3 linked regions of the Cricetulus griseus genome follow. The protein of the gene in region 2 interacts with the protein of the main gene of each other region in a biochemical or structural test. Links are inferred from orthologs where the notes say so. Each region holds a gene or a part of one and is shown on either strand. Other genes may lie near its edges.

The links.
Region 1: the proteins of Lgals3bp (region 2) and Lgals1 form a complex in vitro, tested with the Homo sapiens proteins (2 studies listed by BioGRID). The link is inferred for Cricetulus griseus from reciprocal best matches to the Homo sapiens genes LGALS3BP and LGALS1.
Region 3: the proteins of Lgals3bp (region 2) and Lgals3 form a complex in vitro, tested with the Homo sapiens proteins (4 studies listed by BioGRID). The link is inferred for Cricetulus griseus from reciprocal best matches to the Homo sapiens genes LGALS3BP and LGALS3.

Annotation. Positions count from the first base shown.
Region 1 is NC_048595.1:376,033,369-376,040,149, reverse strand, and holds Lgals1 (galectin-1), read right to left. Parts: upstream 4,141-6,781; 5' UTR 3,994-4,140; coding exon 3,985-3,993; intron 2,810-3,984; coding exon 2,730-2,809; intron 1,492-2,729; coding exon 1,320-1,491; intron 1,112-1,319; coding exon 965-1,111; 3' UTR 901-964; downstream 1-900. UniProt on the Homo sapiens protein: Lectin that binds beta-galactoside and a wide array of complex carbohydrates. Plays a role in regulating apoptosis, cell proliferation and cell differentiation. Inhibits CD45 protein phosphatase activity and therefore the dephosphorylation of Lyn kinase.
Region 2 is NC_048600.1:130,935,646-130,942,326, forward strand, and holds the end of Lgals3bp (galectin-3-binding protein), read right to left. Parts: intron 5,857-6,681; coding exon 5,604-5,856; intron 2,538-5,603; coding exon 1,442-2,537; 3' UTR 1,187-1,441; downstream 1-1,186.
Region 3 is NW_023276807.1:203,413,622-203,420,402, forward strand, and holds the start of Lgals3 (galectin-3), read left to right. Parts: upstream 1-3,011; 5' UTR 3,012-3,097; intron 3,098-6,781. UniProt on the Homo sapiens protein: Galactose-specific lectin which binds IgE. May mediate with the alpha-3, beta-1 integrin the stimulation by CSPG4 of endothelial cells migration.

The sequences.
Region 1 (6,781 bases), on a different chromosome or scaffold from region 2:
CTTGAATCGCCCCCTCCCAAACAGTAGCATAAGAGACCACAAACTACAAGGCATTATGTATCCAGAGCAGGACTTGGCCTCCTCCTTAAAATCTCATTTAACTTCACAACAACCCTCATCTGAATTATGTATTACCCCCCATGCACAAATGAAAAACCAAGACTGAGAAAGATCAGCTAGTAAGTGCAAGGCTTGTAGCAACAGCTTGTAGTCCTTTGCCTTAGCACCCCTGTCCTACCTACGAGGTGCTTCTATGTTACCCGAACTAGTTTTTTGTTTTTGTTGTTTTCTGAGACAGGGTTTGTCTGTGGCTTTGGAGGCTGTCCTGGAACTAGCTCTTGTAGACCAGGCTGACTTCGAACTCACAGAGATCCACCTGCCTCTGCCTCCACAGCACTGGGAATAAAGGCGTGTGCCACCACCGCCCAGCTCCCCAAGCTAGTTCTAAATGATCCTCTTGCCTCAGTCTCCCGAGTAGTTAGTAGTATAGGGATGCACACTAGTCCCAGATAACTCCACCATGTAGCCAGGCTGGCCTGAACTTGATAACTAGTCCAGACTGGTCTTGAACACTTGTCGATCTGTTTGCCCTAGCCTCATAGGTTTCAAGTCTGTGCCACCATGCCCAGTGGCTTTCTGACCCTTCTGGAGGCAGATGAGGCCCTGTTGTTCATTCCTCCTCCACTTCCCACTGTTCTGCTCCTGTCACCACACTCTCTGGTCACCAAACCCTCTATGTGCTAGGCTCTGCTTGGCCTGGAGAATCTGGGGGAAGAGGAGAGGCTACTGGGACCAGGAGGGACACGTGGAGCAGTGGCTGGGAGTGAAGATTGATCAGCCGAGGCAGGACCCCTCACACAGACACAGACACAGACACAGACACACATATACACTCTCACATGAGGGTTTAGGCTGTGGGGAACAGAGGCAGCTGCCTTTATTGAGGCCTAGGGGCTTGTTGACTTCACTCAAAGGCCACACACTTGATCTTGAAGTCGCCGTCTGCCGCCATGTAGTTGATGGCCTCCATGTTGAGACGGTTAGGGAACTTGAACTCATGCCCATCTGGCAGCTTGATGGTCAGGTCAGCCTGGTCAAAGGTGATGCATACCTGGGGGGTGGAGAAGGGCAGTGAGTGACACCCTAAAGCAGCTCAGAGCCTGGATGACAGCTCCCATATAGGTGAGTCTCTACATAGGTTCAGAGCCGGTGACAGTCACTGGTAATCACACAGCCAGGGAAGGTCAGCCTGTCTCTGAGCACTAAAGCCATTGTTGTCCAGCCCACCCCAGGCCCTGCCCAGCCCCCATCCTGCCCACCTCCACAGTGCTTCCAGGCTGGAAGGGGAAGGCAGGCTCCCGGTGCTCAGTCCCCCAGGCTCCGTTATCCTTGCTGTTGCACACGATAGTGTTGGCGTCCCCATGGGCGTTGAAACGGGGGTTGAAGTGCAGGCACAGGTTGTTGCTGTCTTTCCCCAGGTTCAGCACAAAGCTAGGGAGTGACAGGTAGGCTTAAGACCATGTTGGCTGGCTCTAGACCCAAAGCTCACTGAGAAAAGGCAGCATCAGCAGCTGGCCTGTAATGTACCTTGTTGAAACTCAGCCAACAGGAAGGCCAGGAACCTGGGTTCTAATTCTGGCCTCAATATGTGAGTTGATCTCGACCCTACCATTTCTCTCTGAGCCAGTTTCTTTCCTGTCTGTACAATGGGGGGAGGGGGCCTGCGCTGAAGGGATCTCTCTCCCAGACATTAATTGGTGTCAGCTCTTTGGTCAAGGGGGAGACTCTCCGATGTCCTCCTGTCTGTCTTGTGTATCTGAGTCCTTGGTGCCTAGTACAGAGCAGAACACTGTGCAAATGTCCCATCATTGTGGAGTAAAAGTGCAAATAGTAGTATGGGATTTGATCTGTTACATGGGACCTGGTAGCAGTACTTGCCACCATGGTCTGGTAGGAAAAAAGAGGAGCAGGCCCAGGCACTCACTACCATCAGCCAGCTAGCTGCCTTGATAAATCTGGCCCCTGGCATTCTCCACACCACAACTTTCCCTCTGGCTTTATTAGGAAACCCAGACTCTTCCGGGTGTGGAGGTGCAGACTTTCAATCTCAGCACTGGGGAGGCAAAGACATGTGGGTCTCCGTGGAGGCTAGTCTGGTAGACATATAGTAAGTTCCATGCTAGCCAGGGCTACATAGTGAGACCCTGTCTCCCCACAAGGAAAAAAACAAAACAAAACAAAAAACAAAAAAAAAAAACGAGGCTTCCTGAGCTTGGGTGACTGGTCTAAGGTCACATGGTTGCCTAGAAAATAGGCGATGGGACTGTGAATGAGAGGGAAGCACTGAAAGAAAAGACTGAGCCGGCACACCCCACCCCACCCCACCCCCAGGCAGCAGGCACGTGGGTGATCCCTCCCTCATTGCCACATTACACATCCCAGGCAGAAGGGGAGGGGGTAAGCCGAGGTAGCTGTTGAGGCAGCAGCTGGTTTAGTTTAAGAACCTCCATCCGGGAGAGAGGGGGCGGGAGGGGAAGGGAGACCACGGTGAGGTCGACCAGACCCAGCTAGGAAGTGACTCACCCAGAAAACGGAGCTTCTGCAGCTGACTATTAACCCCCTGCGGGCTGGGGAGAGGAGCCCTGGCCCAGCCACGCCCATCCCCAGCTTCGGGACCCAAGGCCTGCTAACACCGCCCCTGCCACCACCATCGCTGGCTCCATTCTCACCTCTTGGCGTCAGGGGCCACCTCGCCCCGAACTTTGAGACACTCCCCAGGTTTGAGATTCAGGTTGCTTGCGACCAGACCCTGTGTAGAAAAGACCACCTAGCTGCATTTAGGGCCGAGTTCAAACATGGCCTGAGCTACCTGCAGAGGCCTGGGGTGTGTGCATGGGATCAGAGACACCCTGGGTATCCGGAGCAGCCCTAGGGGAAGCCCAGAGGTAGGGTGGGTGGGTAGGACAAGGTGTAAGTTCTAGTCTTGATTGTCCCAGCACGGTATGCTAATTTGAAACTTATGGACAGAGACAGAGCCTAGAAGATTCACTCAGTCAGCTTGGAGATTTTTTTTTTTTTTTTTTTTTTTTTTAACTTAGAGTGGAGGGGAAGATGGAGCGTGACCGAAGTTCTCATTTAGCGCCTCCGGGAGTGAAAAAGCAGCCCCGACCTCTCCAGTTCCCCTCAAGGCTCTGTCTACAGGCATTGGAGTGGAGAAGCTGAGGGGCAGCCCCCCTCCTCCCTCCCCCGCAGAAGAGTGCAGCTAGAGAGCAGCATCATGGATTTAGCAAACTAGAGGAGAACCCAGCAGATAGCTGGGTATTGCTGGGCACCTGCCTGGTGGGCAGACAGGAGTTAATTTGTGTGAGGAGCTTCTTTGACATTTGAACCCTGACAAATACACAGCCTGTATGTCTATTTGTGCAAATGCACGCAGTTCTCTAGGCCCCCGGCTGGCCGGCAGCCACGAACAGCCCCAGCCTGGCCTGGACGGCAGCTTCTCCTGGGCCCCGGAGGTTTTTAAGTTTTTCTGGAGCAGAGGGTGATCTACTGGGCCCTGGCTCTGTGACTGGGGACAGCTGCAGGGGGGGAGGGGTCAGGAGCCTCTAGAGTAGAGGAGAGGGAAGCAGTGAATGGCCTTGCCCAAATTGTCCCCCTGCCTCCCCTTTCCCCCTCCCCAGGTGGCCACACCCTTCCCACTCTTACTTCTCAGAAAACTGCGAAGTGCCCCAATATTGGACCTTCTAAGATGTAAGCATACTGTCGGAGCTCAGAGGAATCCAGGATACTCTTAACACAGAGAGGCTGAAGACTTTTGGGGACTATGCCACCCACCCCCATTTTACAGACGTGGATACTGAGGATCAGAGAAAACACCTGTCTAAGGCCGCACAGCTGGAACCAGGTCCCAAACTGGCCACTTTTCTATGCCCATCTGCTGCTGTTTAATCCCCTAGACCTTGCAGTAGAGGGTCTCGCACTCACACAGGCCATGACTGAAGCGAAGTGAAGGCGGCTGCACCACTTGTCTGAAGACTCCACCCGAGTGACGGGACCCCAAGCCCTCTCCGACCCTTTTAACAGGACCCAGACCCGGTGAGTCCCGCCCCTCCGGTAGGCTAGGCCAATTGATGTCAGGAACGGGGTGGGGGGGCACTAGAGGCGGAGTCAATGGATTATAAATCCAGTTTTAGAGCAGAGGTGACCAGTCAGAGAGAAGAGTGCCCCTCCTTAGTCCCTCCCTCAGGGTCCAAGCGCCGCCCCTTATTCTTCCCCATCTCTCTCCTCCCACTAAAAAAAGATTTGTGTGGTGGCAGAGATTGGGGGAGCCAGTGGAAAATAGTTTGAGGATGAGTTAGGCTCAAGAGTTGGCGGGAAGGGGCCTGGGGCCAGCAGGCAGAGAGCCCCTGGGGCTCAGTGCAGCTGGTGGGGGTATGTGTGTAGAGACTGAGGAAAATTAGAGCAGGGCTAAAAGAGGCTGCAGCCTGGCAGACCGGGGTGTGGCTCCGGCTGTGGCTCTGGATGTGGGCCTCTGTGGAGGGCTGAGAAGGACCACAAAGCCCAGGCCCCACCCGGGCTTTCCCCGGAAGCAGCGTACTGTGGCTGCAGCTCAGTGCTGCTCACTAGGGCTAAAGAAAGACTGGGCTGGGCGCCAGGCCTGACGCTGGTGTCCTTGGCTCATACCTTGGACTTCACCCCACTGCAGAGCCTGCAGAGACTTCTGGGTGCCCTGGCTCTGACATCCCTGGGCCTGAGAGGTAGCCTAAGGTGTGTCAGCTCTGCACCCTTGGTCTCATTCTCACTTTTGGAGACCAGACATGGCCATCCATTTAGCAGATACTTTCCTGAGCACCTACTATGTGTCTAGCCCTGGGCTGGCCTTGGAGGACTCAAAGTTGAGCCCCTCCCAGTCCCTACTCTCAGAATCCACGGTTTGGCTAGGATCTGACCATGAGTCTGATTAAATAAGGTTGTGTTGGTTATGGGGAAGGCAAAGACATAGATACCACTGTGGTGGGATGGAGACTGTGGGATGTAAAGCAGGGTGTTGAATGACCGGGCATTCTGACTGGGCAAAGGCTTTGTGATGAGAAGCCCAAGCCTGGGGAACAAGCTGATGAGTGTGTAGGAGAGAGATAGGAGTCAGGGATCATGAAGGGCCTTTCGGACCAGACAAAGGGTTTCATTGTTGTTTCGCCTGAGGGTCCTAGGGAGCTACAGATAATTATGGGGTGAAATGCGACTTAGGGAGGCTCACTGAGCAGAGTGGAGGGTTAAGTGGTAAAACAAGGCACTTCTGAAGCTGCTCCTGCCCAAAAGCCTGGACCCCTCCTTTGGGTCCAGAAGACTACTGACAGGATGAGTCTGCCCTCTCTCTGCATTTTCTTGGATCCATCTCCATACTTTGGCTCAGACTCCTGCTTGACTCAACCTTCCTGACCTACCTCATCCTCCTTCTAAGCCAAAGGCACGGAGACAAGTCACTGACCCAAATCTGCAGTCGTCTTGGATTCTAGAAAAAGCAAAGCCATACAGGACAGCCCCTCCCCCACAGGAGGTCAAGCGTCTGCACATGCAGGAGCAGGACTGGCCCTCTCCTGAGCAACTGCCTGTCCCCTAAGCAATGGAACTTCTTTGAACCCGTCTTGCAAGGCCAGTCTGCTCAAGTATGCATACCTCTTGCTATCTGCCCCAGTTCTTCCCATATTGAAGCTTAAAGTGCTTCGTGGCTCATGCCTGTAATACCAGCACTTGGGAGGCTGAGGCAGGAGGGTTAGGAATTCAAGGCCACCATCAGCTACATGAGACCCTGGCTCAAAAATAAAGAAAGAAAGAAAAGAAAAGAAAAAGAAAGAAGAAAATTAATAGCTAGGTAGGCAGTGGTGGCACACACCTTTAATATTGTACTCAGCAGGCAGAGGCAGGTGGATCTCTGTGAGTTCCAAGCCAGCCTGGTCACAGAGCTAGTTCTAGGACAGCTAGGGCTGTTATACAGAGAAGCCCTGTCTCAAATAACCAAAACAACAACAACAAAAACCCCCAACCCAAGCCAGGTATTGGTGGTGCACCCTTTTGATACCATACCAGCACTTGGGAGGCAGAGGCAGGCAGATCTCTGTGAATTCCAGACCAGCCTGGTCTACAGAGTGAGTTCCAGGACAGGCTCCAAAACAATACAGAGAAACCCTGTCTCGAAAAAACAGAACAAAATAGACAAAAAAACCCCAGCCCCCCAAAACAACAGAAAAAAAACCCTCAAAATACCCCAACAAAAACAATAAATAAATAAAACATTAATGGCTGATATAGCAACAACTGCCCCCTTAAAAAAAACAACACATGGGGCTGGAAAGATGGCTCAGAGGTTAAGAGCACTGTCTGCTCTTACAGAGATTCCCAGTAACCACATGGTGGTTTACAAACCATCTATAATGAGATCTGGTGCCCTCTTCTGTTGTGCAGGAATACATGCAAGCAAAAGGCTATATATGTAATAAATAAATCTTACACACACACACACACACACACACACACACACACACACACACATATCAGCACCCTAAAAACAGACTTGGGGTTACTGGATCCCTTTATCTGTTCCCCTTCCCAGCCTGGCCTCGAACTTTCTATGCCAAAGAGGATCTTAAGCCTCTGATCCTCCTACTCCTGCCTCTTAAGTGCTGGGATTATAAAACAGTGACATCATGCCTGGTCTACGTCTTGTTGGGGATTGAACCCAGGCCTTTGTACGTGCTAAGCAAGCATTCTACCAACTACTTAT
Region 2 (6,681 bases):
CTGTGACAGGAAGACAACTCAGGAGAAAGGGCTCGTTTTGGTCCACGGTTCCACACTACAGTTCTTCATCAAGAGGACACCCAGGAGGAACGCACACGCTCACTGCTCATTCTCAGCTCATTTTCTTCACCTATGTACCGGTAAGGACCCCTTTCCCTAGGGAATGGTGCAGCCCACAGTGGTTGACTCACAGATGTGCACACAAGCCAACACGATGCAGGCAATCCACCCTGAGACTCTCCTATGTACCGGTAAGGACCCCTTTCCCTAGGGAATGGTGCAGCCCACAGTGGGCTGTGTCTTCCCACAGTAATTGACTCACAGATGTGCACACAAGCCAACACGATGCAGGTAATCCACCCTGAGACTCTCTCCTCATGTTTCTAGGTTGTGGAAAGTTGACCAAGATGAGTGACCTCTTGATCTTGAGAAATGAGACCTGGGGGTAACCTCTGCCTTCACAAGAGGGCATACGCATGTGCACGTGTGTGTGTGTGTGTGTGTGTGTGTGTGTGTGTGTGTGTCCACGGGCACGCACGCACAGGCACACACACACACACACACACACACACACTTGTCATAAAGGAGCTGGGGAGGCATCCGTTACCCAGGACCCAAAGGTGACCCTCTCACAGGATGTCTCCTCCCAAAGCATCGAAGACAATCGGGGGCCCCACAGCTCACCCAGCGCCCCTCTTCTGCCTGACCCCTGACCTCTGGTGCTCCATCTTCTGTTCTGACTGACTGAGCACCTAGTGATGCATGCAGAGTCTCCCCACTTTTCCATCCTTACAGATGCTGGGGTGCGGCTGTCTCTCGGGCCTGGCACAGGCTCAAAGCTTTCTGGAGGAACTGCTGCTCCCCATGCTGCTTCCTCCTCCCTGCAGGTACCCTCCTCCGTCTCCTGCTGTTGTTCTTTAGTCTCTGAGTCCCAGCGCGCAGTCTCTTCTCAAGGACGCCCCTATACTCAGTCAGCTCAGCCCTGTGCTCACCAGCTTGATACCCGCGGCTGCATCCCACTCTGTCCTCTGAGGAGGCCGAGGGCCAGGGCTGGGCTGTTGGGGCGTTATTGTCCACCTCCCCCAAGGGTTTACAATCTCATTCCCTGTCCCCCAGAAGCCAGCACACCTGCCCTTCAAACACTGGAGGAAGCCAGCAACACCTCCTGCATGAATGAGTCAGCATGGTGAGAAGCATGTGTGACTTTAATGATTTCAGATTAGCAGACTGAGCTACCCACTGGACCTCACAGAACCTGCTTGTGCCTGCAATGGAGCCCCGGGGACTCTCAGCACTGGAGTGAATGCTGGCTGAAACCTAGTAAAATTTAAGGCTCATAAAGACAGTGGAGGCTAGAGGGAATCTGGTGGCAGGCTGCTGGGAGTGGCTACACAGAAGGGGACACGTGGGTGTCTGAGTTCCCACCACTGAGAGGGACCATCTAGTCCAGGTCAGTGGAGTTAGTCAGGTAGAAGGGGCGGATGACCACACGGAAGCCGCTGAAGGCCCCCGAGGTGCAGGGAAAGAGGGAAGAAATCTTGGAACTATTGGTATCCAGGGCACTGGGGACAGGAGCCTTAGAGCCGGCAAAGTTGGTGACATCCACCACACTGTGACCTCCACAGAGCATCAGTGCTTTGTTTTCATAGCCAATCATAGGCTCGGAGTAGCTGGACTTGGTGAGGCCCAGAACTGGGAGCTCGTCAGAGGTGCAGGAGAAGCCATAGTTCCAGCAGCTCTGGACGGTGGGGAGGTAGGTGGCCGACCAGGAGATTAGCTTGTCCGTGAAGAGAAAGCTGGGGTGTTGTGGGGTCTGGAAGGACCGGTAGGGGGAGTACCGACTTACTGAATCATAGCCATATGAATAGTACCCATACACTTGCGCACCCTGTGACCTTGAGGAACGGTCTGTCACCAAGGTGCTCCAGGTTGAGGAGGTGTAAAGCCGGGGCTTGTAGGTGTTCTCCGTGAGGTTCAGGCCTCTGTACTTGGCCAGTACTGGGAAAGGCACAGTGTGGAACTCCAGGGCCTCCATGGTCTTCCTTTGGAACAGTGCCTGGTGACCCTGGTACAAGGACAGGTTGAACTGCAGCTCAAACAGCTGCTGGGGCAGCATCATGGGGAAGCGGACCTGTTCCACCAGGCCCTCCACCTCAGCATGGGAGGCGCCACTCTCCGCGCTCCACTGATCCACGGCCTTCAGCAAGTCCAGCTCACTAGACACAGCCAGCTCACTCTTGGAGAGGAGAGCCTGGAGCAAGGTGGTGGGAACACTCAGCCAGGCCTCAACCTGTGTCAGAGGCTCAAAGTTCCAGGCCAGGAACTGCACGCACAGCTCTTCCAGCACAGAGTCCCTGGTGGCCTGTGCGTACTCATAGAGCTCCAGGGGCGTGTGGAAAGTGGGATCCTCGGGGAGGAGGGTGGCGAACAGCCGGCTGCAATAGTCTCGAAGCTGTGTGGCCCCGTAGGCAGAGGCTAGCTTGTGCAAGCACTTAACAGAAGACATGGTGACCTCGATTCTTCGGGAGTAAAAGTACCTGGGGGTGGGAGGGAGGTTAGGAAATGGAAGCCTGCCCTGACAGACAGCAGGGCTTTTGTTTGGCTTGCTTTCCCACACAGCTACCTACTACACCTTCACCATTGACCTCACGCCAGGGTGCCGCCACTAGTGGCAGCATTCACCTCCATTCTCATGCCAACTGACAGCAACTTTTGGGTGTTGGGCCACAGGGTGGATAGTTGTTGGCAATGACACTCACAGCCACTTTCTTCCTCATCTGTGAATGCCCTCACCTGAGGGGTTCCCACCTACATCTCCTGGTCACTCTGATGTCACTGTGAGCCTTGGACAGCAGAGGTCTAGACATGGGACCCTGCTGGGTTCCTGTGGGTACCTCTTTCTCCCCAAGCATCTGCTCTCTGTCAGGTGATAATGACACCCGATGATTTGGTCACCCGATTTCTGCTTCCCTGGGACTATGAGCCATGTGAGGGTCTGAGCCCACCAAGTCCAGAGTGACACCCTCCCTGTTGGTCCATAAATGTTCAAATAGAGTTGAGGGTTCCTGCCATTGGCTTCACAGCACCCCAGAGGTTGGGATGGCAACTCTCTCCTCAGGGCTGGTGCACACAACTCGTGGTAGACCATGCATAAAATCACCTCATAGGGAGGGCACGGGACAGTAGGATGCTACCACCAACCTCTCCCTGCTCTTGAAGGATTGGCACCAATTTCTAATCCTCATCCCACACCAGAGTGGTCCCTCAGACTGCTAGCAGCTATCTCTAAGTGCCAAGGGAGGCTGGGAAGTGCCAGGGTTCTTGTGAGTGCCTCTCTGCCCTCATGCCCCTCCCATGCTCCCTTACTCAGGGCCCAGTCTTAGTTTCCAGAAATCAGAGTGGGCCTCCCCACCCTGCCCATCCTTTTCAAGTAAAAATCACATATGCAGAGAGAGAGAGGGGAAAAGCCCAAAGCCAGCTTTTAGGCTCGAGGGACAGCGGGAGGAGTCTAGGGGACTGTTGTGTCTCCTGTGGCTGAACCCGTGTGTGTGTGTGTGTGTGTGTGTGTGTGTGTGTGTGTGTGTGTGTGTGTGTGTGTGTGTGTGTGTGTCCATCCTCAGAGGGAAAGGGGGGATGAAAGAGGAAGAGAGAGGGAGGGAGAGGGAGAAAGAGAGAGATAACAGGAGCCCAGACCTGAGGCCACAGCTGGGGGTGGGGCAGGGGGTTCAGGAAGGCAGGGATGACATCTGCTCCACCCTCCACTGTGTCTTAGACATAGAATTCACCAGGAGGACACAGGAACCCTGCCAGGTTTGCACACTAGGCTGGGAGCAAATGGTTCTAATCTGGGTTTAATTGCCAGTATTATTCTTATAAATGTCAGATTCCATTATATAAAGAATCGTGTCATAAGGGTGAGAGAGGGTACTTTTTAATAAATGTTCTATTTTAAAGAACCACTGCTTTCAAAATGCAAACCTCAGAGTCCTCCTGGGTGGGGAACCTGTGTAATCTTGACAATTAAGCAGAGAGGTATGGAGGGAAGGGTCGTGGCAGAGTCTGGGGAGGGATGTGGACCCCACTAACTGTCTCTACTCTCATCTGTAAGTATGGGGTAGTCTGAGAGGCTCCTCAGAGGGGCAAGCGTTCCCTCTTCCCTCACAGACAGTTTTAAAGTCATGGCTCCCTGCTGTTCTCTTAGCAAGACCGATAATGTGGGAAGGGAGGGCTCTTACGCTGAAGTTGGCAAGATGGCTCAGCAGCCAGTCAATTGCTACCACATCTGATGACCTGAGTTGGTCTCCAGAACCCACAGGAGAAGCTACTCCTGAAAGCTGTCCTCTGACCTCTGCATACACCCTGTGGGGACCACACAAACAAGCACACAGGAACCTCACATTGTATCTCTATCGTACCTAAGACACATGACATAGAGAGGGGAGGATCATGCGTGCATCTTACCTATACTGTCCATGCCTTTCTAAGGGCCCCAGGGAGTGGGAGGGGAAGCCTGGGACTTCATTCCAGCCTTGCTGTAGGATTCCATGCTGCCAGTTCCCACCTGGACTCTATTTCCATGCGCCCTCCCAGGTGGCTCCCAGGTGGCAAACTGCAGGCCAGTACTCCATGCTGAAGTCACAACCTCAGAATACCAAACCCTTCTTACAGGATTTGGAGTATTTAGAGTCGTATAGTGAAAATGCATGTATCTGTGTGCACTTAATGTGGGTGGGAGTGCACGTGGGCACACCAGTTCAGTGTGTATGGGGTGCTTTATGGTAGGAGTGCTCTGGTGGTCTGAATAGTCCCCATTCAGACATATGTGATTGCTTAGTCACCAGGCAATGGGACTGTTTGAAAAGATTAGAAGGATTAGGAGGTGTGACCTTGTTGGAGATGTGTCACTGGGGGTGGGCTCTGACCTTTCAAAAGCCCATGACAGGCCCAGTCTCTCTCTGCCTGTGGATCAGGTGGTAAAGCTCTCAGCTACGGCTCTACCAAGGTCCACTGCCACCACCAAGGTGACGATGAACTAAACCTCTGAAGCTGCAAGCAAGCCCCAATTAAATGCTTTTTTTTTTTTTTTTTGAAAACCAGCCTTGGTCATAGTGTCTCTTTACAGGAATAGAACAGTGATTAAGATAAGTAGACAAACAGGCACATGTAAAAGTAAGGTTTGGATGCATGAGAACGTGTTTATACAGGTGCAGGGAGCATCTGGATACATAAGTGTGTGTGTGTGTGTGTGTGTGTGTGCCCAAAGGTGGTGAGTATTCACATGTATGAGTGTTCAATGCTTCCATGTAAGAGCAGGGAGCATCTGGGTGTTAATGTGTGCTCACATTAACACATTAGCACATGCAGCAAGTGTTGCGGTGTGTCTCCACGTGACACTGAGGTAGGTGGGAGAGTTTGTCACCGTCTGTCTGCCAGGGCAGATGTGTGCAGTGTGAAGAAGCATGCACCCATGTGTGATATGTGTGTTGCACCAGCCCATGCTTGAGTATGAGGGGCAGATCTGCCACTCTGCCACCCCACCGCAGCGCAGGGATGCCCTAGCGGGAAAGCGGGGCAGAGGAGCGTGCAGCCCAGCCTCTCCCTACCTGAGGAAGTCTCTGACCACGGGCATGCAGTCCACGTCCACTCTCATGATGACGCTGCTGCCCTCTGCGTGCCACAGGGCCTGGGCCTCCGAGTTGGTGTTCAGGATCAGCTTGTGGGCACAGAGGGTCAGATCCCTGTGCCCTTGCCCTGTCACCTGAATGAACAGGTCACAGCCCTGCTGGCTGTCAAAGATCTGGCCCAGCGCATCTGGGAGGTCTCCGGAGAGGTCCAGGATGTGCATGCTCTCAGTTTCTGGGAAAGACAGGGGGTTGCTGTGTGAGGGTTTGGGTTCTGCAAACTATTTTCTCTGGCTCCAAGCTCCACCTATCACTCGGAAGTCAGGTTCCTCATCTGGTTCCTGGCTTTGCTCAGAAGGGCTTGTGGGGAGATGCAGGATGGAACAGGCCTTCAGGAAGGGTGCACCTGCCCTCTGAACTTCATGAAACAGGAGCAGGCCCCTCTGGCCTCTGTGGCCCTGTGTGCCCCGTACCCTATATACCCAGAGGCTGGCTCCCTGTACCCACTCAGGCACTGTGTGTTTGGTTTGTAGAGAGTGCTGTAATGGTTTGAATAAGAATGGCTCCATAGGGTCACATGACTGAATACTGAGTCACTACTCGGGAGTGGGACTGTTACAAAGGGTTAGGAGGATTGGGCCCTGTGGGAGGAGGTGTGTTACTAGGGGAGGGAGGGAGGGAGGGACAGAGGGAGGGAGGGAGGGAGGAGGAGGAGAGGGAGAGAGGAGGAGGGAGGGAGGGAGGAGAGAGGGAGGAGGAGAGAGAGGAGAGGGAGGGAGAGAGGAGGGAGGAGAGGGAGGGAGGGAGGGAGGGGGACTCTGACCCTGAGTCTATGTCCATCCTTTACAAACCCATCAGTAACCGCAGAAGCCGCTCTCCTACACCCAGGGAACAGCCTGAGAAGTTAGGGTTCCACAGCAGCCCCACATCACAACTTGGTGCTTCCCAGTTCCAAGGGGACGAGTCCTTGAGGGGCTATGGCACACCTCTGGGCATCCCCACCTTTTCCCTGCCTCCCAAGTCCTAACCCAGAACCCCATGCCACATCACCGGCTGCCCG
Region 3 (6,781 bases), on a different chromosome or scaffold from region 2:
TTGACATGAAATGGGCAGAGAAGTGTTCTCTAGAATGGGGCAGTGAAAAAGAAGTCTGAGCTTATGGTTCAGTTTAGCATAGTGAGCCATCTAAGTATCAAAGATTTAAGCTTTATCTACCCCCTGAAAAAAAAGATAAAAGATTACCAGAGGTCAAGAGTGTGACTCATCTCTTATCTCCATAGCAACCTGTTTGACTGTCCACTTCGGGCTAGCCCTCAGAGAGAGTGTCCCGGTGACTCAACATCTTAAGGCTTGAAGTGTTTTCTTAAGGGACAAAAGACAGCCCTGTGGCCCATCCTGTTCAATCCTCACATGCTAATCATCTCCAGATGACTCATTCAAACACTTGGTTGCCAAGATACCTGTACAGAGGAGAGTTCACGGTGTCAGAATTCATCTGTAGCCACACAGTGACTTCCATGTGTAAGCTTGGAGGGGGCAGCAATGCTTTGACAGTGGCAGGCCCTATAGACCTTGTAGATCTAGCCTAGAGAACAGTAGGCTTCCTCAGTGCCGCCAATGAGTGTGTGCACATTTCCCAGGCCATTTATTAATACACTAATATTATTTTAGAGACTTTAGAGATTTAGGAATTCTGGGGTCAGGTGACATCTGGACTGCTTCATGGTTTACGTAAGGCAGTATCTACAATGATTGTTTGGGATTTTTGTTTTTGAGACAGGGTCTTACTATGTGTCCCTGCTGGCCTCAATTCCTATACAGACTAGGCTGGCCATAGACTGAAAGGGATCTGCCTGTCTCTGCATCCCAAGTGCTGGGATTAAAGGTGGGAGCTACCACACCTACCTACATTTCTTTTCTTTATTCTTTGTGTGTGTGTGTGTGTGTGTGTGTGTGTGTGTGTGTGTGTGTTTGAGACAGGGTTTCTCTGTGGCTTTGAAGCCCGGCCTGGAACTCCTCTGTAGACCAGGCTGGTCTTGAACTCACAGAGATCTGCCTGCCTCTGCCTCCCCAGTGCTGGGATTAAAGGTGTGCGCCAAAGCCCAGCAGTGATTTCTATTTTTAATGCTTACATTCATTTATTTCTAAAATATTATTTACCTATTTTAATATTTTAAAATACATTTCTTTTTGCATGTATGCATGTGAGCATGTGGGGGGGGTGGTTGGAGGACAACATTCAAGAGTTGGTTCTCTCCTTTCCTCGTGAGTTACAGGGATCAAACTTAGACTGTTGGGCTTTGTAGCAAGCTCCCTTACCTGATCACCTACAGTGATTCTCTTCACCAGGGGTTTGTTGTTGTTTTACAGTCAATATAAAAGTTAGTACTTCTGGATTCTGCTCTTCCAGTGGAAGGACCTTGGAGAATCAAATTGCTTGCCCAGTGTCTGAGCGCATTTCGTCTTCTATACAAAAAGAATCAGTGACCAGGTGGCTTGTAAACAGCAGGTGCTTACCTTTTATCATTCTGGAGGCTGGGTCCCAGCACCAAGGCAGCCTCTGTGTTTGCTTTAGAGGGTGACTTTCCACTGTGTTCTCACAAGATGAACAATGGTTCATTCCTCTTGGACCTCACTGGACAGTGGAGGAGCAGAGCTGCCCCTCCAGACGGTTGCAGCACAGGACCAGAGCTTCCTGTCTGACTCAGGTTCTTCAGGGGCCACCTCCCTTAGAGCTGTCTGACAGCTAGCTGACTTTGGGGTTTTAGTTAGAGCAGGAAGACATGTAGTGCCAGAGGGACAATTTCTCAAACTCTTGGACTCTAACATACTTTCACCTTTATCATGATTATGTTTAATTCTTTATACCTACATTTTCTCATGTCTAGAATGGCATTTGTAAGCAAGGGCACAGAAAAACTACCAAACTGGACTGACTGCTCCATGGGTAGAAAGGAAGGTTTATTGGGGCTCAAACTGCCAAGGTAACACTCCATCCCAGGTGGGGGGAGAAATGCTAATGGATTTTATATGACAGTCAGCAGAACTGGGGAGGGGGGCTTTGAACTGATACATCCTGTTGGAATTGACCAGGAACTAGATGCCTTTGTCCTAGGTAGTTGACATTTAGGGGCAGATTAAGAGAGATTCCTGGTCAACAGAAACTACCTTTAAGTTTCTGGTTACCCAGCCAGAGTCCTTCTGTTTAGTAAATTGTCACCAGCCATTGTGTGTGTGTGTGTGTGTGTGTGTGTGTGTGTGTGTGTGTGTGTGTGTGTGTGTTTGTGTGTGGTGCTTTAGAACTAACAGGATTAAAACAATACCAACTCCATAAATGCATGTAAAGTCTTAGACACAGTACAGGGTGCATACTCGTTTGGTGGATATTACCTGATGTTATCATCTGAAGCCGGAAAAGAAAAACCATCTTGAATATCCTTAACCACTAATCACTCAGCTTTTATCTAAATAAATGTCTCCAAACTAGTTATCAGCCTTCTTGCAAAGGTGGCTGTTCCTTGTAACAACTTCTCATACAGACAGAGCTTCGCCCTGTTCTTTTGACTTCACTATCCCTTGCCACGCAGTACTCTCCTCTAATCATTAAGCAAACATCTTTCTAGGAAGCAGTTTACTCACTCACTTATTCATTCATCCACTCTCATTCATTCATTCTTTAATCAATAAATTCCCACTGAGGAAAAACCTACTATTCTGAGTAGATCAAAACACCAAAACTTGGGGTATACAGACACAGCAAAATTCAGCAGGAATGAATGCAAACGGGGTTGCCTTTTACAGCTCGGTCACGTCAGGGATACCTGCTCCTACCTCTCCTCACCCGCATAAGTCACTTCCCACTTTTTGGGAAGGCTTTGGGTGAAGGAAATGGAGGCAGGATGAGACCGTGAGAGGCAACTTCAGACTCGGGAACCGGTGAGTCTGAGAGTGTCTGGGTGCGAGGATCAGGGCCCACTTTCCGGGCACAGGTGAGGGACACAGGTTGGCGGGAGTGTCCCTGTTGCAGCTTGGGGAAGCTCTGGGGTCCGCGGGGCGCGGTCCAGGCAGGCGCCTGCTGGCCTGGAGATGCTGCCCCGCCCCGGGAGGGCGGGCCGGGCTGGGGAGAAGTGTACAAAAAGCGCCCAGCCGCCGCCCAGCAGCTAGCGGAGCAGCGGGCGGAGCACTGACCAAGGTGAGCTGCGCGGAGCAGAGCGAGGGGGACCGGTGCTGCTCTGTGCACCAAGAAAGGGCTTGACTGGCGGGAGGAGACCTTTAGGGTCCCTGGCACGGGTCCACGGCCGTGACTCACCCGCGGGTAACACTCCGAGAAAGTTAGTCGAGACCTATTTACTGAGCATCGTTGGGGCAGCGGGATGCCTGCGGGCCCTGGGCAGGCATCGGAAGCTCTTGGCTCAAGTGAACCCAAGAGCCACCTTGCAGTTGGCTCCAAGCGGTTGCCCCTAGCTTAAAACACAGGAATCAGGTCCCCCTCCCGGTACGCTGGGGGGCTGCTTGGGCACCCTCTTGACAGCTTCTGGGATCCCTGCCTTAGCCAGCAGGCTCCTTTGGTACACCTGCTGAGATTTTCACTAGAGATCTTTGCTGTGTGTTGCCAGTGAGCTCTACCAGCCTTTCACTAGAGATCTTGCCCTGTGGTGCCAGTGAGCTCCACCAGGTCCAGCAGCGACAGGGGTTACAGCCACTCCCTGCGTGCTGACCGCACAGAAGTGTTGCCCAGGCTCTAGTGCGCATGTTCCCAGATGAGGAACGACGGTAATCTCTAAACTTTTGCAAGCCAAGTGACTCATCAGTGCCCAAATGTGATTTGTGCAATAACCTCTAGATCTGGGCTGGGGAAGTCTTGGGTGTGGTGATGTTTTTCCCAGAGTGTAGAGCCTTAGTTGGAGGCTTTTAAAAGTTGGATTTGTTCTGCTGTCTGTTGCTCAAACACGAATGCAGGGAACCAAGATGCATGGATTGAATATTTGGGGAGTTGGGTTTCTAGATAATGAGGACCTCAGGACCTAGTGACCCAGCTTATTTTGAAGAAAACAATTGCAATCACAGTGTTTATATGACTAATTTCTGAAATTCCAAGTTGTTTGCTTCAAGTTTATGTATTTCCATATTTTTATTTATTTGTTTTTTGGGGGAGGGCCAGGCGGGGTCTCACTGCAGCCTAGGCAGGTCTGGAACTCACTATGTAGCCCAGGCTGGCTTTCACTTTTCAATCCTGTCTCAGTATCCCCCAGTGCTAAGATTACAGGTGTGAGCTGCCTCCCCCAACTATTTCCATAAAAATTGAAGTTTCATAACAAAAGCTTGCTTTTCTACCACAATAGTCTTTGGGAGGGGTGATTATGGAATTTGAGATTGGAAGTGTTTTGTTGTTTTTGATTGAGACAAGGTCTTCCTATGTGGTCTAGGGTGGTTTTGAACTTGTGATTTTCCAGGCTAGAACAAACACACTTAGCAATTGTCTCCTTCTTGGTCACTGGTATTTTTTGCTTTGCTTTGCTTTTGTTTCTTGAGATAGGGTCTTACAATATAGCCTTGGCCGGCCTCATACTTATTACATATCCCAGGCTGACCTTGAACTCATGGCACTCCTTCTACCATAGTCTCCTGGGTGCTAGGATTACAGTGTATTGACTATCATGCTAGACTGTGCACATTGATTCTGAATACTTTTCAAATAGGTCCCTTTTCCCTATGGTAGTCATATTTATCCTTGATGGGGGTTAGCTTCCTAAATTCACAATGTTTAAGAGTTTAAAATCTGTACTTATTTCCCATTCTGGGGAAGACTTTCATGGGGGTCTTTCAGGTTTAAGCTTAGAAGTGTTTAAGGGATAGCTCACTAAATTGTAAACAAGGCAGAAGGAATGGAGAACTGCTTGATGCATTGACCAAAAGAATTGATCACGTTTATGTAAAATGACTAACTCTCTTCAGGGCTTCTTAATCAATGATATATTTCACTGGATCAAAAATAAGTACAGTGGCTTTATTGGTTTATTTGTTATTTTTCAAGTTGGGGGTCTCATGCGTAGCACTGGCTGGAACTCGGTACATAGAAACAGATGCTTTCCAAAGAACTGTTCCTTAGGTGGGTGTGGGAGTCAGTGCCTGTAATTCTAACACCCAGGAGGCAGAGCCTCCTGAGAATCTCAAGTTTAAGACCAGCACAGGCTACATGGAGAATTCTAAGCCAACCTGGGCCACAGAGTGAGACCGGTCTCAAAGTAAATATATTAAAAATATAAGCTTTTTACTTCCTGCCAGTAAGCTCAAGTGGCCTAGAATTGGTCTTATTTATGATTTAGGTGCTGTGTGCCTAGCACCCTTGGTAGCCAGAGTCTAAATCTCCATTGCAACAGACACAGCTTGGTGTTAACAAGGGGTCATGCATTCTTCCTTGACTGATACTCGGCTTTTCCAAAGGGGAAAAGTCAGTGACTGAGACAGAAGCACAGAGTAATTTTATCTTCCTTGATGTGAGGAACTGGGAAGAGAGAGAAACCCTAGGAGATGGCCAGTGTCCTTTCACTGATTGCTGCTTTGGAATGTGGACTTCCTCAAGCCCTGCTCTGTGTTTCCATGAAGGCAGGGAATGGAGAGGCAGGAAATGGAGAGGCATTGCCTGGGCTCCTGGGAAGGGAGCGTGGGAGGGCCCAGGATCACCACTTAGTGTTTTACAGTTTTGTTCTTTATGAACACAAATTCCAGAAGAGTTCTTGAGAACCCAGACCACTGGGTGGTTGGCACGTAGGCCCAGCAGAACATGGTGCAGTGGGCCACTCCTATTAAAGGAAAAGCTCTCAATTAACAGCTGGTTACATTGACTCATATTTAAGCTCATCATTCAGAATGACTTTGAACTGTTTCTGCCTGCTGCTTTCAAACGAAATATTTCCAAATACAGAGACTAAGACCCATAACTCTGCTTTAAAAAAAAATACCTTTGATGAATTTTTCTTTCTTTTTTTTTTTTTCTCTGTGGCTCTTCAAAAATTTCCTGGTTCTAGAAGTGATAGAATGGAGTTTATACATTTACATTATCTGTAGGGTGGAAAGAATGTCCTACATTTGAGAGTTTGAAAAGAGCAAGTTATAATCCTTTTCAAAAAAGAGATCTGAATCAGGTGGTGGTGGCATACACATTTAATCCCAGCACTCAGGAGGCAGAGGCAGGCAGATCCCTGAGTTTGAGGCCAGCCTGGTCTACAGAGTGAGTTCTAGGACAGCCAGAGTTACACAGAGAAACCCTGTCTTGAAAATCTAAACCAACCAAACAAACAGATCTGGACCCAGTAAGATAGTTCATGGGTATGACACTTGTCTCCAAGACTGAGTTTAATCACTGGGGCCCACATGGTAGAAGGAGAGAACCAACTCCTAAAATCTGTCCCTTGACCCCTTTATACACACACTCCTACAGACACAAAATAAATAACTATATGTGAAAAAACTACATCTGGGAGCTGGAGAGATGTCTCAATGCAGCATAATCAGAAAATCTGAGTTCAGATCTCCATCACACTCACAAGGCTGGGAATGGCCACAGGATGTCATCCTGAATTATGGGTGTGGAGACAGGTGGATTCTGGCCAGTAGATGCATCTCCGATTCAAATAGAAATGGTCTCAGAAAATAAGGTGAAGAGTGACTGTGGAAGACATCTGGCACTGACCCCTGGCTTCCCCCACACAGGCATGCACACCTTCACACACAGGTGCATAAGCATACATCACACACACACACACACACACACACACACACACACACACACACCTCAGCAAAAAAAAAAAAAAAATCTATGGTTGAGAGGTGACACAAACAAAACAGTAATTCTGGTTTTGGAGAAATAAAACTT